Linked DNA regions of Astyanax mexicanus. The protein of the gene in region 1 interacts with the protein of each later gene in a pairwise test. Links are inferred from orthologs where the notes say so. Each region holds a gene or a part of one and is shown on either strand. Other genes may lie near its edges.

Evidence for each region. The genes of interacting proteins can lie anywhere in the genome.
Region 2: the proteins of pcbd1 (region 1) and hnf1ba interact in binary tests that used the Homo sapiens proteins (3 or more experiments, as listed by UniProt). The link is inferred for Astyanax mexicanus from reciprocal best matches to the Homo sapiens genes PCBD1 and HNF1B.

Annotation. Positions count from the first base shown.
Region 1 is NC_064414.1:37,558,988-37,566,749, forward strand, and holds the start of pcbd1 (pterin-4-alpha-carbinolamine dehydratase), read right to left. Parts: upstream 3,022-7,762; 5' UTR 2,951-3,021; coding exon 2,948-2,950; intron 461-2,947; coding exon 329-460; intron 1-328. Other genes in the region: si:dkey-192p21.6 (heparan-alpha-glucosaminide N-acetyltransferase), read left to right, coding at 6,506-6,584. UniProt on the Homo sapiens protein: Involved in tetrahydrobiopterin biosynthesis. Seems to both prevent the formation of 7-pterins and accelerate the formation of quinonoid-BH2. Coactivator for HNF1A-dependent transcription.
Region 2 is NC_064425.1:13,246,942-13,254,735, forward strand, and holds the start of hnf1ba (hepatocyte nuclear factor 1-beta-A), read right to left. Parts: upstream 3,023-7,794; 5' UTR 2,864-3,022; coding exon 2,502-2,863; intron 1,231-2,501; exon of another isoform or gene 1,141-1,230; intron 1-1,140. UniProt on the Homo sapiens protein: Transcription factor that binds to the inverted palindrome 5'-GTTAATNATTAAC-3'. Binds to the FPC element in the cAMP regulatory unit of the PLAU gene. Transcriptional activity is increased by coactivator PCBD1.

The DNA.
Region 1 (7,762 bases):
GTATGTATAAAATAAAAATGACTTAAAATAATATTTTAGTAAGGTTTCTGTGTGATAGCAAAAACATAAAACATACATTATTAAAAATTTTGATTAATCAAAAATCTTCAAAAAAATCAGAAGAATGAAAAAATATATAATTTAGTCAAGTACACCTGGAACCTCTCCATAGGTTTACAAAATCGCCAAACAATTTAAAAGTTTCAGATTCTGTCAAATGAGATACAAGGTTTTTGTGTGACATCAAGAACTTATTTATTATACATATAGTGCATGAAAAAAAATAATTTACTTTCTGAATAAATAGTAATTTCACAGGTTCACTCACCTGGTTAAAGTCTTTAAAAATGAACTCTTTATAAATGGCGTCTCTACCCACCACTTCCACCCACTGGGCACTGCGCATCATGGGCAGGAGCTGCTCCCTCTCTTCCATTGTCAGAGTCTGAATTTTACCAGCCTGAGGAGACACAGCAGTACAGCAGACACACAATTAAAGCTCTTCTTTATTCAGTAACTTTCTCTGAATATCTGAGCTAAATTTGCAGTAATTGACCAAACAGTTCAGAAAAAATAATTTTATGCAAGAAAAAAGTGTATTCATTTTAGCATATTAAAAAAAACTACAATTAATACAAATGTGCATGAAATTAATATATATTATGATGATTATGTGCATTACTTTACATGTTCTACACATACAGTTCAACAGATACAACTCCAATAGCAATGCAAGACACTAACAAACACAGTGTAGGGGGCTGCTTCAGATATAAGGGCTGCGATTGGCTGTCGTGAACCCCATCTGGAAGCAATGATGACTTGCATTTTCAGTTTTATAAGAGAGACTGGACCACGTTTCTGTGTGGGTAACACTGAGCCATTTAAACCTCCTCTTCCAACCAGCCAATAAGAATCTCAGAAGATCACATGAGTTCCATTCACACTTAATCCTACATCCAAATGCCTTCAGAGGACATAGGAGTTTTTTGGATTTTTAATAAAAACAAATGGGAATATTCCATCATTTTTATTATGCCAAAGTAGTATTGCACATGATAAGTATATACAAACAACACTCTATACTTTACGTACCTCAATATTTTAATGAAGTTATCAGTAAGTTTTTTACCTTGTATGTTGTCACAGTGTTAGAGGAAGAGCTCCAGCTTCTGCTGGTTTTAGGTGATCTAAGCTGGTATGTTATGATCATGTTGGTTGAAACATTGGTTATCGATTAGGTTTTGGTCATGCTGGGAATTATGATCGACCAACGTGGTCTTGCTTGTTATGCTGGTTGACCAGCATGGTCAACCAGCGTGATTAAACTTGATCTTACTGGTTATCTAGCTTGTTCAGGTTGCATATGCTTGCAGTCTGGCTCAGCCATCAATCTCAAATTAACATTTTCTGACTTCACATGTGTCAGAGGAAGCATGTGCTAGTCTTCAGTGTGTTGTGGTGTCACTAGTAAGTGATAAATACAGCTGACTAAAAAATAGGAGAACATTTGAAATAAAATCTATAAAAAAAAACTTAACTTAAATGATCATAACATACAATTGAAAGAAAAATGTAGTCTACAACTATGCTTTATGCCTGTCTGGGAAACTGACCCCAAAGATTATCCTTTTTTTTAATAAACTACTTTTTGTTTAATGATATAAGATGAGCAGTGGGGCAGCTCAGTAGAAACCTAGATGATAAATGTAAAATACATATACAATTAATATATACAGCTCTGAAAAAAAAATAGAGACCGCTCAAAAATGATGGGTTACTTTAATTTTACTAAATTAAAAACATCTGGAATATAATCAAGAGGAAGATGGATGAACACAAGCCATCAAACCAAGCTGAACTGCTTCATTTCTTGCAGCAGAAGTGGCATAAAGTTATCCAAAAGCAGTGTGTAAGACTGGTGTAGGGAGAACATGCCAAGATGCATGAAAACTGTGATTAAAAACCAGAGTTATTCCACCAAATATTGATTTCTAAACTCTTAAAACTTTATGAATATGAACTTGTTTTCTTTGCATTATTTGAGGTCTTATTAAAGCTCTGCATCATTTTTATTATTTTAGCCATTTCTTATTTTCTGCAAATAACTGCTCTAAATGACAATATTTTCATGGAACAAAATGTTGTCTGTAGTTTACAGAATAAAACAATGTTCATTTTACTCAAACTATAGACTGTCTCTGACTCAAACATATACATATAAATCAAAGAAACTGAAGTGGTCTCTTATTTTTTTTCCAGAGCTGTACACACGTATTATAATATAAAGCATTTTCCCCATGTAGCTACAGCAACAATGAATTATATTATATACCCTATAAACAACATATTGTTTTTTTCTATGTGTACCCTCAGAGTATTGCGTCACACATTAAACAGATGTCTCAGTGAAGCGACCAGACTGATAACAGACTGATAAGACTGACTGACATCAACAGGTCTCCTAGCAACAGGTTAATCTGCCCCCCGCCCACTCAAGCATAAAGCTTTACCACCCGGCACAAAAGACAACAGCACTAGGGACAGCGCGAGCAGAGGAGCCAATAAACAAGGTTTAAATGAAGGTTTCTACATAGCAATTAAATTACTTTTAGTTACTACTAGTTTATTCTTTTTTCTTTACATAAAAATGTAGCCAAATGTAGAAACCAGTAACGTATAAAAGAAAAACACTGACTGACACTGTTAGTCAGTGAAGCATTGTCCAGTTTACAATGGGAAGCTATCTAAATATTCTATTATATTAAAAAAACTCTTGTCTAATGTGAAATACAGACAGCAAGTCTAACTACAGCTGCACACAGCAAAGTAAAAACAGCAACAATCTGCTGCAATCTAGAAAACAGCACATTAAGCACACCCTGCTTATCATATTATCTGTAATCTAAACTAATAAAATCACAGAGCCTGAGCTCTACAGTCCTACCATATCGTGGTGCTGTGCTCTTGCCTCTCTCCTCCTCTGATACTGAATCAAAGTGGCAGAGTCAGCAGCTGGAATTCATCCTAAGGCCCAAAGTACATTAGCTGCCCCAGAAGAAGCCTGAGCAAAATACTACAGCTAAACAAACACAGGTGCTAGTGGTGGTTTTTCATTTTAACCCCCTTTTTTAAAATAGAATTTCCAAAATAGTGTATAAAGAGACTTGTTTAAAAGTAAAGAAATGATACATTAAAATAAATTTTGCAATAGTAATGACGTAAATGTAATTTTTTACTTTGCTACTTAACACATAAGAGCCCAGACCCATTTCTGAATACTGATGCCAAATTGAATCTGATAAATGCAGTGAGCGTCTATTTCATGTTTTTTTCTTATTGTGGGAACATGACTGTAAATATTTTATTGTATTTTTTAAAATAATTTTACTTCTAATTGTTTTCCCATTTTCTCCCCAATTTACACGGCCAATAACCCAATCCACTCATTAGGACCCCTATCTCTAGTGATGCCCCAACACCAGGAGGATGAAGACTAGCACATGCCTCCTCTGATACATGTGAATTCAGCCACCACCTCTTTTCGTACTGCTGCTGATGCAGCGTTGCCGAGTAGCATTACAGAATGCTTGGAGGAAAGCACGGCGTCTCAGTTTCCGATAAATCAGCTCACAGACGCCTTGTGCTGATCGACATCATCCTTTGGAGTGATGTGGGGAGAGAGCACCATCTATCCACCCAGAGAGAGAGCAGGGCCAATTGTGCTCTCTCAGGGCTCCAGTAGGCAATGGCAAGCTACATGATGAGGATTCAAACTGTCGATCTCCCGATCGTAGTGACAGCGCTTAGCCCGATGGACCACTCAGAGCCGACTGTAAATTTTTAAAGGTAAAAATATTGATGTAACATAAATGACACAACAACAGTTTCATAACTTGTAAACAAACATTTTATTAGGTTGTTTTAGTAATCGTATCAGTACTAATTATATGGAAGGTAAAATATTTCATTAAAGTTTTTGAATTGTTAATCTGGTTGGAACCAAGTAAAACCAAAAAAAAGTAGTACACTTTTAAAAGTAGCTACGTTTATTTCAAGCACCAAACAGCACTCCTACATTCTGTAAATAAGGTCAGAGGAACAAACACACATTTACACACTGTCCTGTAGTGATGCTCTCAGGATGTTCTGTATATGTCACTAAGGAGCTTCATGAGTTAAGATATAAAAAATGTGCTGTGACAAACTTAACACATCTTTTTTTCCACATGGCCTCTTTTGGGTAAAGTTATTTTTTACATATACATGTATAAGTGTTTCCAACTATGGTGACTTTTTTAACTCCATTACAAATATCTTACATTTTATTCCACTACATAATAAGACATCTGTCTTTTTTTTTGTCTGTGTGAATTAAGAAAATATAAGATAAGAAAAACATAAGAAAATACAAGAAAAAAAATTATACTTAACTAAATACTGTAACTTATCACAACACAACACAAAAGACACTAAACCAAACACACCACTAAGGGTGCAGCATACACTTTGTTTTGAACTTGTTTTGACCTTTTTATCTTCAAAAAAGACATATTTCATAGCGACTTGTTTCTATCTAATTGTTTGCCTTTAGTGTTTTGATAAATATACTTTTATACTGATATATGCATATCAGACAGAAATACTCATATAGTTTATCTAATATAAGTTGACTGGTTGCATGGTTTGGGTACTTTGTCTGCCACTGCACCAGTAAATCAATGTATAGAGCTTATGTTACATTAGACTGTGCCTGCACATTCCCTGCGTGGGAATGGTAGTAAAGCTCCAAAGCTGATCCCACGGTTTTCATGCTTGACTGATTGCTAGGCTTAGTGAAGCAGAGGCAAATTAACACCCTGTGAATTTAAGGTAATCATCTCAAGAGTAGGCCTACCCTTTTAAAGCAATTCATTATCCTACAGGAGTAGTGATTAAGTAGAAAAGAGTGAATACGGTAGAAAGGTAACCCCTCCTGTCCTTTCTCTGGGATTTTACTTGAGTATGCTCACTTAGAGGAACAGGTTTCATCAGGATATGTTCATGTTCAGGTGTGCATGTTTTAGTGTGTATGTCTGTATGCCCTTATAAGGATTCCTTCTGAGTCAATGCCCCTGATTCAATGGCACTTAAATGCAGTCATTTAAGTGGAAGTTGTTTCCGGTTGAGAGTATGCTATACGCAATAGTAAACTAAAACAACAATACATCAAATATATTCAGATATTTTTTTTACATATATTACACAATGTAAAAAAAGTACAATGTAATGTGTAGGCTGGATGTGTTGTGTTTTAATGTTTAACTTTCTGTTGTATCTGAAGTTAACATAATTCATTAAGTTAAAATTTCACAGGCCCTCAGTTACACTGAATTATTTAAACCAGCATCAATTAAATTTGTTCTTTTTTAAAAAAGCATACAACTAATAAAACATTTAATAAAATTGTTTTTTACTTTGAAAGAAAGTCTGTCAATGCAATTACACTATAAGGTTTGCTTTTAAATATGAAATACCGTAAATCAACTTTAACTGCTGAATATAAAAAAAAAAACAATATCTGCCTTGGCACATACGCTGTAGCTCGATGTGCACCTCTCCATAAATTAAACTACAGCACCGGCAGAATAGTAAAAGCAGATTTATGGATGTTTGTATGTATGTTAAACATAGCTCATTCAACCACACGGCTCCTCTTCTTTAAAAGCTGGTGGATATGTAAGCTAACTAGCTAACAGGTTAACCTAGTTAAGTAACCTAGGGTTAACTGTGAGGTGTCCTCACAATGTGCTCCCAAATAGCTGTAAATAATGTTTAACAGTCTGATAAACTGTTGGGTTTCCATATATAGCTACATTACGATCAGTGTTCACAGCAGTAGCTACCTCAGACTGCATTTATTGGATGCAACCAAAAAACAATAAAAATGACCTGCCTAGATATTCTAACACAAATGGGGTAGAAGCAAATTCTTGAAAGTGGACATGGCAGAACAAGGTGGATGCGTCTCTTGATAAAAGTTTTCTGAGAGCTTAAAATATCTTGGGGTACCTTAATACATGCAAGCCATTGTATTAAAAAAATACTTTGCTATGACACACCTTTAACTATTAGATAGATAGGCTCTGGGGATAAAGAATCTTCATCTCCTCAGTCTTCTATTAACTTATTTATTATCTATTAAGTGGGATTACTGGAAATAATGGGTACAGAGGCCAAGAGACTACAGACTTAAAGGAGCACAGCAGAAAAGCTACAGCATGATGGAACAGTGAGGTTTGTACATGTTCAGACATCTTCACAGATTCAGCCTGAATTAGACTCTAATCATCCACTTTAGGTTGAATGCTTCATCTTTATGTTAAGTCCTTTCATGCATTAGTGAAACCATAGAATACTTGCCTCTGTAAACACCCAGCATGTCTATCTCTGCTCTTTGAACTCTGTTTATATTCATTTGTGCCATAAACGTCTGCAGCAGAGTAAGCTACTACTGCTACCGACTATGGAGATCTACAGCCTGAGACGCATTTTCTGGGTTCTTATCCTCGTAATAGGACCGAACGTGACAGCTCTGAATTCAGGTAGCATAAGATTTACTGCTAGTATCTGTGTTAATATTAGGTATCTCCAAATAAGTATTGTATATTTGTTTGTATTGCTTATTTTAGTGCTTATCTTATTATGTATGTATTATGTGTGAACCCTTGACAATGTCTATAATTTTCTTTTGGTTTAAGTAAAAAGCAAAAAAAATATTTAATTATATTTAACATTTAATTGTTCCAAATGAGGACACAATTTGAACTATACACTGGACTATTTTTTTCTAGATTGTGTTATGGAGGGTTTGGGAGCCATGTATAGCTTTTCTCCTCCAGATGTCAGTGTTGATCTCTTTAAGTTTTACTGGCTGATCTGTTAACTATCATTTATCAAAGTTTTTTGAAAAAAGGCAGTTTAATTGCCCTAATATTTTAATGTCGGTGAAGATTTGTTGTAGATATTGAAGATATTATAGATGACAGATGCGTTATGCCCAAGACTAATTACTCATTAAATACAGTAATTATTTATTAATATTTCCAATAAAAGATTTTGCTGCCTGTAATAGTTAACACAGTTAGGGTTCCGTTTTATGGACAGAGGTTAAGCCTAGATATGGACTATGTTCCTTTGATTGAAATTGTCCATTCCAAATGCTGTCCAAGACTAGACTTCCCTGTCCCCACTGCCCCAATGTCTGCCAAATTATCACTTAAGAATAAAGGTAATACAAAATGATATTTAAATGATGCCACAGAAGAACACATTTTGGTTCCCATAATGTGTTACGGGATGTAAATTTGAAGAATCTTGGCTTGATGTAATGGTTCTTTACTTGTCAATTTAATGGCTTTTCACACCCACACATCTCTAATACAAACCAAAATAACATGCCCACAAGAGCCCTGTATGGGAAGCCCAACTGGAAGTCCACAGGTTCCTGGTCATATTAAGGTCAATGATGGGGGCAAAATGGGTTTACCATAGACCCCATCTGGGTTGTAAACTGCAAATGGGGCCTAGATTTGACCCATGTAAGATTAAGGGGGGCTGTAACAATGCACCTTTAGGAAGCCCAACTGTGTTAATAAATGTACAAAACCACTCAGAGCCCACCTAGAACCCACATAGCTAACATTCTACCTACGTTAGCCCAACATGAGCATTTTGGTGGCTGGAAACATTGGTTCTTTAAAGAAAGTGGTTCTTTACAGCA
Region 2 (7,794 bases), on another chromosome or scaffold:
AACATGAAACCTGAATGCGTCCTTTAATAGAGTGTTACAGTGTATGTTTACGTTATAAAATTGATTTATATTATATAGGCCATACAAGGTCCAAGAACTGTTTTTAATTCACTTGATATGAGAAAAGCATTTTTCTATTGTAATACTTCTCAGTTTTATTAATATTTATTGAAAGTTTGAATTACGTTTCGTATTTCTAGTTTCTTTTCTTTTTTTGTCTTACTACCGATAAAACTAATGTGGCATCGATTTTCGTTTGTTTGTTTTTGTGAGTCCAGATCAGAGTGTGAAAAAAGAGTATTTTGTCTTTTCCCGAAATTAAGATTCTGTGTGGGGTTGATGCTATGGTTGTTATTCTTATTGTGGGAAATCATTTAAATGGATATTTAAGAAAAATAACAATTTAATTTATCAAACGCATGCGAATAAATAAAAAAAACTGCTGGGTGAAATAACTGATTAGGTAAACAGGACATGCTGTTGAACCTCATGTTATCAGTATGGGATGGGTTCCGATATATTTCCGATATATTTTTATATCTCTATTTCTTTCATGCTCATGTAGTTGTTGATCCCGCCAATAAATGAAAGTTAATCAACGGCTCTAAAGACTTCCAAAGGTTACAGGCTTCAGTTCAGCCCTGTCTGATCTAATTAAAAACTAACGTTTATAGAATACCTTTAGAGCTAGAGCGATCTTTGAAAAAGGACAGATGTTTTTGAAGACTGAGACATAATAAAATGAAAACAATGAACACATAAAATTAATACAATAAAATAAAAACAACTCATGAAATCACTTCCCGTATTTTTCTTTTGTTTTTTTTTTATGTATGTTAAAAAATAAGTACAAAATAATTTCAAATAAAAACTTTGAATTTGTTTAAGTGGTAGCGCCGTCTTTAATTAAAAGACTCAATTCAATACTGAATTAAATACAAAATAAATAAAAAAAACTAGTTAAATAAATCAGATAACATATTTTCCTTTTTCATTAATACGTATTAAAATCGCTTTGACTAAATAAAAATAACTATTCGGTTTTACGCAAGATGTTGAACCGCGTTCGGAAAGGCGATTACAATTGTAAACGGCAGTAAACACGATAAATATTATTCGTATATTTGTATCTGGACTTACCGCAGTGTTAGGTTGATGTGTGTAACCTGAAGGAGAGTCGAGTGTTTGGTTTGGAGAGAAAGAGCAGAGAACCTGGATTATGGCTTTCACCAATGAATAACCAGAACCTCCATTCACACTAATCACACGCCACTGTGTATCTTTCAGTTGATGATTTATAGAATAAAATTAATAATAACTCAACTCCACGTGCTTTAGTTTGGGTTTTTAAACTGCATTTGTTTATGCTGGGTTAGAAGTAAAAAAAAGAAGTGAAAGTGGGTATTATTATGAAATTAAACATAAGTATACTTTAGCTTAAGTTACACTGATGGAATGTACTGGTGCTATTATTATTATTATTATTATTATTATTATTATTATTATTATTATTATTATTATTATTATTATTACTATCTTTTAGCAAGTAACTATCTAACAATATTATTTTGTATAGTTTTTGGAAGAACACATATTATTTAAATGTAGTCTCCATTGCGCTGCCATAGTTAATGATAAATGGAGCTTCTTCACTTCATATTTCTTCAAGCTAAAGAAATAATAACCCGAGTAGATAATTAGTAACCAGAAAGCGAAAAGATGAAATCGTGGCGCGGGGTTTTAAATTTGTAAACACCACCTGGCAACTTCAGCTCTGTCAGAAATATAAAACATCTAATTTTCGTCTTTAGCTTTCATTTTAGACACGAATTTTTCTTTTGTCAGCTTTTTGTATTTACCGCGGCGCGTTTTTTTTTTCTTATCTCTTAACATTAATCCAGAACCAGCTGAACAGTTTTTCCTAAAGTTCACATTTAGAGGAGAAAAATAATTGCTATTGAGAAGACACGATAATTAACAAATGGATGACAGGACCTTACGGTAACAGTGATAAGGTTAATGGTGATTTGCCCTTCCATTTAGAACACGTTTCACACAGTTAATTAAGTTATATTAGAATGTCTTTGTTAAATCTTTTATGTCCAATAAACTTTTTGTTGCAAAACGTATTTGTACAGTTGGCTTTTTTCAGGTGTAAATGTTTAGTATTGATATACTTAGATTATTAAATAGAAAATTGACGTTTCTTTCACTAAACGAATTATTCTGACAAAACCAGCAATTAAATTAAAAATGTAGGGGACAGGCAGCTCAGTAGTTTTAGGTTTGCTATTGGCCTAACTTTTTCTATATTCTTTGCTATGTTATTTTTCCATTACATCATTCATTTAAATTTAACTTATTTACTCTTTTTATTTAGAGACACAAATATAATTTTAAAATAAAATCGTAAATCATACGCTGTGGATTTGTATGATTTCGGACAGTAAATATTAAATATTAATTTTGACCAATTTTTCCAGTCACTGTAAATCACTTACGCTAGCATCCGCTCCACTTCTGCCCGCTGCTCGGCCGCCTCCTCCGTGTTGAGCGCCTGAAGCTCCTTCAGGATGGGCGGCGTGTCATAATCGTCCCCGTCCTCCGAGCCCTCGTCCCCGGAGAGTTTCCCCCTGCCGTGCCCGTTAGAGAGCGTGTGAAACACCGGCTTGTGCGAGTCCCCGTCGCCGCTCATCGGAGACGTCTGAACGCTCCCCTCCAGCTTCACCCCCAGAGTGGCCGGCCGGGGGTCCATGTCGTCCAGCGCCTGGACCAGAACCTCCCGGGTCACTCCGGAGTCCAACAGGGCGCTGAGGAGCTCCTGCTGCAGAGAGGTCAGCTTAGACACCATCCTCCCCAACATCCAAGAAAAGAGTGAATAAAAAAATAAAGCTAAGAAAAATAAGAGAAAAAAGAAAGAAGGCGGAGGGCGAGAACCTCCAGGGCTGAAGCGATAGCCCCAGCGCGCACACCTGCTTCTTCCAAAAAGCCTCGCTCCTCTAACTTTGCCATGATGTCGTCTAAAAACAGCGGACAGCTTTTCGTCTTTTTCTCCCCGCCCGTTTTCCGGCGAGGCCACGCCCCCCTCGGTCAGTGCTTTTACGCGCTTGGCCAATGCGTAAAACTACATCCACCCTCAACCCGAGACCGCTCGCGAGGACTCAATCTCAACAACGCTGAAGGCGCGAGACTAGCAGCCAATCCCTCCGAAGGGGGCGTGGTCTTGACGGAATACAGGTGTGTAATGAACTGGAGGCCGATGTTAATGAGTGGGCTGGCCGGTATTCGGAGTCTTTATGTAAATGAGCGGCTCAGCGTGTTTGCTCTGTAGCTGGAACGCTTTTATTGGTCTCCGTTATCAGCGACTTTCTGGTGAACTTTGGACTTTGTCAGATTCAGACTGTTTTGAAAGGGGGAGGGTAATAATAGCACCACCAACAATAATAATAATAATAATAACAATAATGATAAAAGAAGTAAAAAACTAAACAAATACTAGAACATCATAATTTAAAACTTCGCAATGTCGCCAAGAGCCTATACTAAAGGAGTATATTAACCAAAAATAATACTTTTATTACTACTACTACTAATACTACTAGTAGTAGTAGTAATAATAATACAATAAATAATAATAGTATAATACACAATTGTATAAATAGATGAATGCCATTCATGACATATTTGAAATTATATAAAATACACAGAGTTTGTCAAAATGACAAAACCGTATCAAAAATATTACTCACAATATATATTTATAAAAATCATTTTTACCTTTATCCTGTTAAATGCCTGATTCAATCTGACTCCAATTAGATGTTAAACGCTGTCTATTAAATTTTACGAATTTACGAAGGACGAATGACCTTGACTAAATAAGTCTTTGACTAAGTCTATGACTTTGTATTATGCAATACAAATAACTGATTAGTTTGGGCATTTGATTTTAAAATAAATATGGAAAAAAAATAATAATAAAAGGAAGCGAATAATGGCGAACATTTACTTTTGTGAGCATCGCTTTTGCATACATTTACACGAACGTAACATTCGTTGAACCTGAGCCTGCTTGAAATAATACACGTTTCATCTATCCGATATGTTATACAGAAAATAAGAAGCAATCGTACAAAAAGTTTTTATGTATTCTTTCATTCGTTTGTTCATTAAGCTTGTTTTCAGTACTGGTTTAATTATCTTATTTATTTTTTTGAAGTCAACGAAATGTCAAAATCTGACTTACACAAGCTAAATTAATATTTTTATCAAGCTTGTCTTGCAAAAAGAAACCTTACCAAAAATCTGAGCAACAATAAGTTTAAAGTTAAATCAGCAAAAAATATTAGAAAAACATTAGGTGATACTTAGTACTTAAGTTTTTGTTATTTTGTTATGTTGCGCGTGCTAAAAAAAATCGACTCTTGATTAATAGTTGTACGGTCGACAATCTGACCACATTGTTTTGGTGGAGTAGAAACCCAAACAGGACACTTATCATAAATGTGTACGATTAGCTTTAATCAAATTCTTCAAATAAGATTTGCGGTATTTTATTTACTAATCTTTAGCATTCCAGAGGCGCAGTGATCACGTAGAATAAAAACAAACAAATTGTGAACACTTGTTAGATTACAGGTCTGATAGGACAGACACCAAAAAATATTTTATTATCAGACATAGGCTGCTAATCAAAGGCGCCAATTAATTTAATCATAAACCTGCGCATAAATCTGCGCCGTGACGCAACGGGACATGTTTTCATTATAATGGTGAAATGTATAATGGGCCAAGTTTTTTTATGGGCGACAGGACTGCACTCCACTTCTTTAAGAGCTGCCTGTGTGTCAACCATTAACAACAAATAAAAACAAGCAGCAAAAACCCATTTCTTCAGCGCGCTTGTTGTGAAAGCAATCTGTGAAGCAGAGCGTGAGTGAAGAACACTGATCTCAGGTCACTCTCACATTCACCTCAGAGGAGGATGGCTGGGTGAAAAAGAGGATCACGTGTGGATCAGGAGCTTCATTAACACCTTGCTTCCCAATCACCTGTAGGGATGCTTTAACCACCAACATGATAGACATATGAATATTGATTATGCATTTGTTGCTAGAAGTTTTGGAATGACAATTATCAGTAGACGTGATTTATTTGATTGTGCTATTGGAGATATGTAGGCATTGGAGTACTCTCAGAATCTTTCTTTCTTTATTTATTTATTTATTTATTAAGGATTTTTTTCTGGGTAATAATGCCAAAGGATTATCCAATAAAATGTAGAATGATTGTCAATTTGTCACTTTAACAGTCCAGTATTATTTGTAGTTATCATTTAACACCTAGTTTGGCTAACTAAGCTTTAGTTTCATTTAGTTAAACCTGAAACATACTAAACAAAAAAAACTTTTAAAATAATAACTGTATAAAACTATACAACTATATACAAAAAGTGATTTGCAAATGCATTCACACAGCTTGACTAGTCCATGTAAAGAAGAATTGCCAATAGAATATGACTCTGTGTAATAGATAATAATGAACCTATTGGCCTAATGCCTAATAGCTAATGCAATGCCAGGTAGAGGCACTGAGCTGTAGAGAAGTGGAATTGGGTTCTCTGTAATGATGGAGCTCCATTCAATACTTTTGTGACTGAAGTTCTGGGAAGAAAGTAAGGTATTAATCATTCGACATCCTGATCTCACTAATGCTATTAATAAGTCATAATTAATTCCTTAAGAAAACATTCTCTGGATAGTAGTAGTAGTAAAGACAGTTAGTCCAGAGGTTCTTTTGAAATCTTCTAAAGATTAATTTTATGGGGAAGATACAGCAAAACGTTTCATACACAAAAGTATTTTTTCTATTTTGCATTTCATTGTTTTTCACAGTTGAATCAAAGTTGAATTGTGCTTCAATTTTTGTAAGATGAATCAACATTAATATTGCAATGTTGTTTCAACATTTAATAAACTATATTAAAACTACAGCTGTCAGTACATGCAGGTGTACCTGTATCATTTAGATTGAAGATGCGCAACATGTCTTTTAGGCTGCTCTAAATAGGTCCAGATTGTGGCTAACCTGTATTTTTTTGTGTTTATAGATAACAGTAAGTCATGTTCTAAATTGCATCAATTTGTATTTGACTATTTGTATTTTGCTTAGAGATTGAAGTTTGAAAGCATTTAACAGATGGAGTGAGTAAGAAATATTGTTAAACCCTAGTTACTGTAAATACCAGTATATATGGCAAAGAATTAGCATATCTATCAATAACATTTTTGTCTTTTAAGAAAAAACATATATTAATACAGCAAAATATTAGTGTAATCCAGCACTAGGCCTATTTCTTGTCCACAGTGTACAGTGTTGCTGTGCATGAACTGCTTTTGACTACTTAAGAAAAATAAATAAATGGGTTAATCACGGTTCTGCTTTATTTCAGCTTTAGATAGATGGTTAAAGCCTGAAGAAATATCACCAGGCAATATTTCTTCGACAAACAAGTGCCTCTTAATGACTTGTCTGATTAAATTAATGGTTACATGAAATAGAAATAGAACAAAATAAAAAAACTGTAGCAATAGTTGTGATTTGTAACTTTTGAGATCAGTTTAAACAATTTTAATAATATATAAAACTCTCAAGGAAGACAACTACAAGACAAAGACAACATTCTAATTTTTGCACATGATACGGAAAAAAACGATTAGTACAGTATCTTTAAAGCTAGGCCCCTATTGAGAGTAGAATTGGGTGTGTATCAGAGGTCGTAACGGTGCAAATAGCTGTTTGACTCAAGGTCTGCCAAGAACGGCAAGGAGAACTGCCAAGCCTTCAGCCAGATGGGGTTTTCCTTTAAACTCGAACCAAACACTAACTCATCCCCCCACCCCAATATCAGCCTAAAACAATAATACAATAAAAAATATGTGTGTTTGAGAGATACACTGATAAAGACATAGCACATCCTCTCAACCGGCACTGATAACCCAGTCTGAAAATTCCTCATTGTCACCATCAGACAAAACAAAGACGGGTGAGACTGGCTGCTACAGTAGCCCAAAGAAAACCAAAAGATAAGATTTCCTCAACTGATACAAAACAGTGAAGACCAAGAACCAAATCATTGAGACTAAAATATCTATTATACCACAGTTAGTTCTGACCCTGCAATGTGATTGGCTGAGAGGAGTTTAATATGAGACACATAAAACACTATAATAAGACATTATTAGCCGGCCTGTGGCCTCATGCCTACGACCGCAGCAAAGCAGTGCCAATATTACACGTTATAGCACTCCCTCTCAAGTATTATTGCTCAAGTATCAGATGTTTATTAATCACAGCTGAGACATGTATTGAGAAATATGCTAAGACACTTCTTCAGGTTGCCAGTTATTAAGATTACAAATACAATTCACTGTGTTTCAGAGGTCATGGCATTTACTATTATCTTTCACCTCTACAAGCCAACCCAGCTACAACACTGCTGACTGAGACATAATTTATAGACTGACTGTAACAGAAATTAAAGCTATAGACTCAGGGACTGTGAAGATCTATGGCTCGAGAGTTGTTCTTAATGAATAGCTATGAGTTTTAGTAGAGGGTTCCATAAAGAGTTTAATACTTTTCACTACTGCAGTTCTACTAGTATTTAAACAGCAATTTTACTGTTTGTCTGCAGCAAAAGTGTTTTATTGATACATAAAATATAATCTAAACATCTAAATACATAGTATAAATTGTAAAAAAGCTTGTTTATGTAAAAGTAAGTCTAACAAA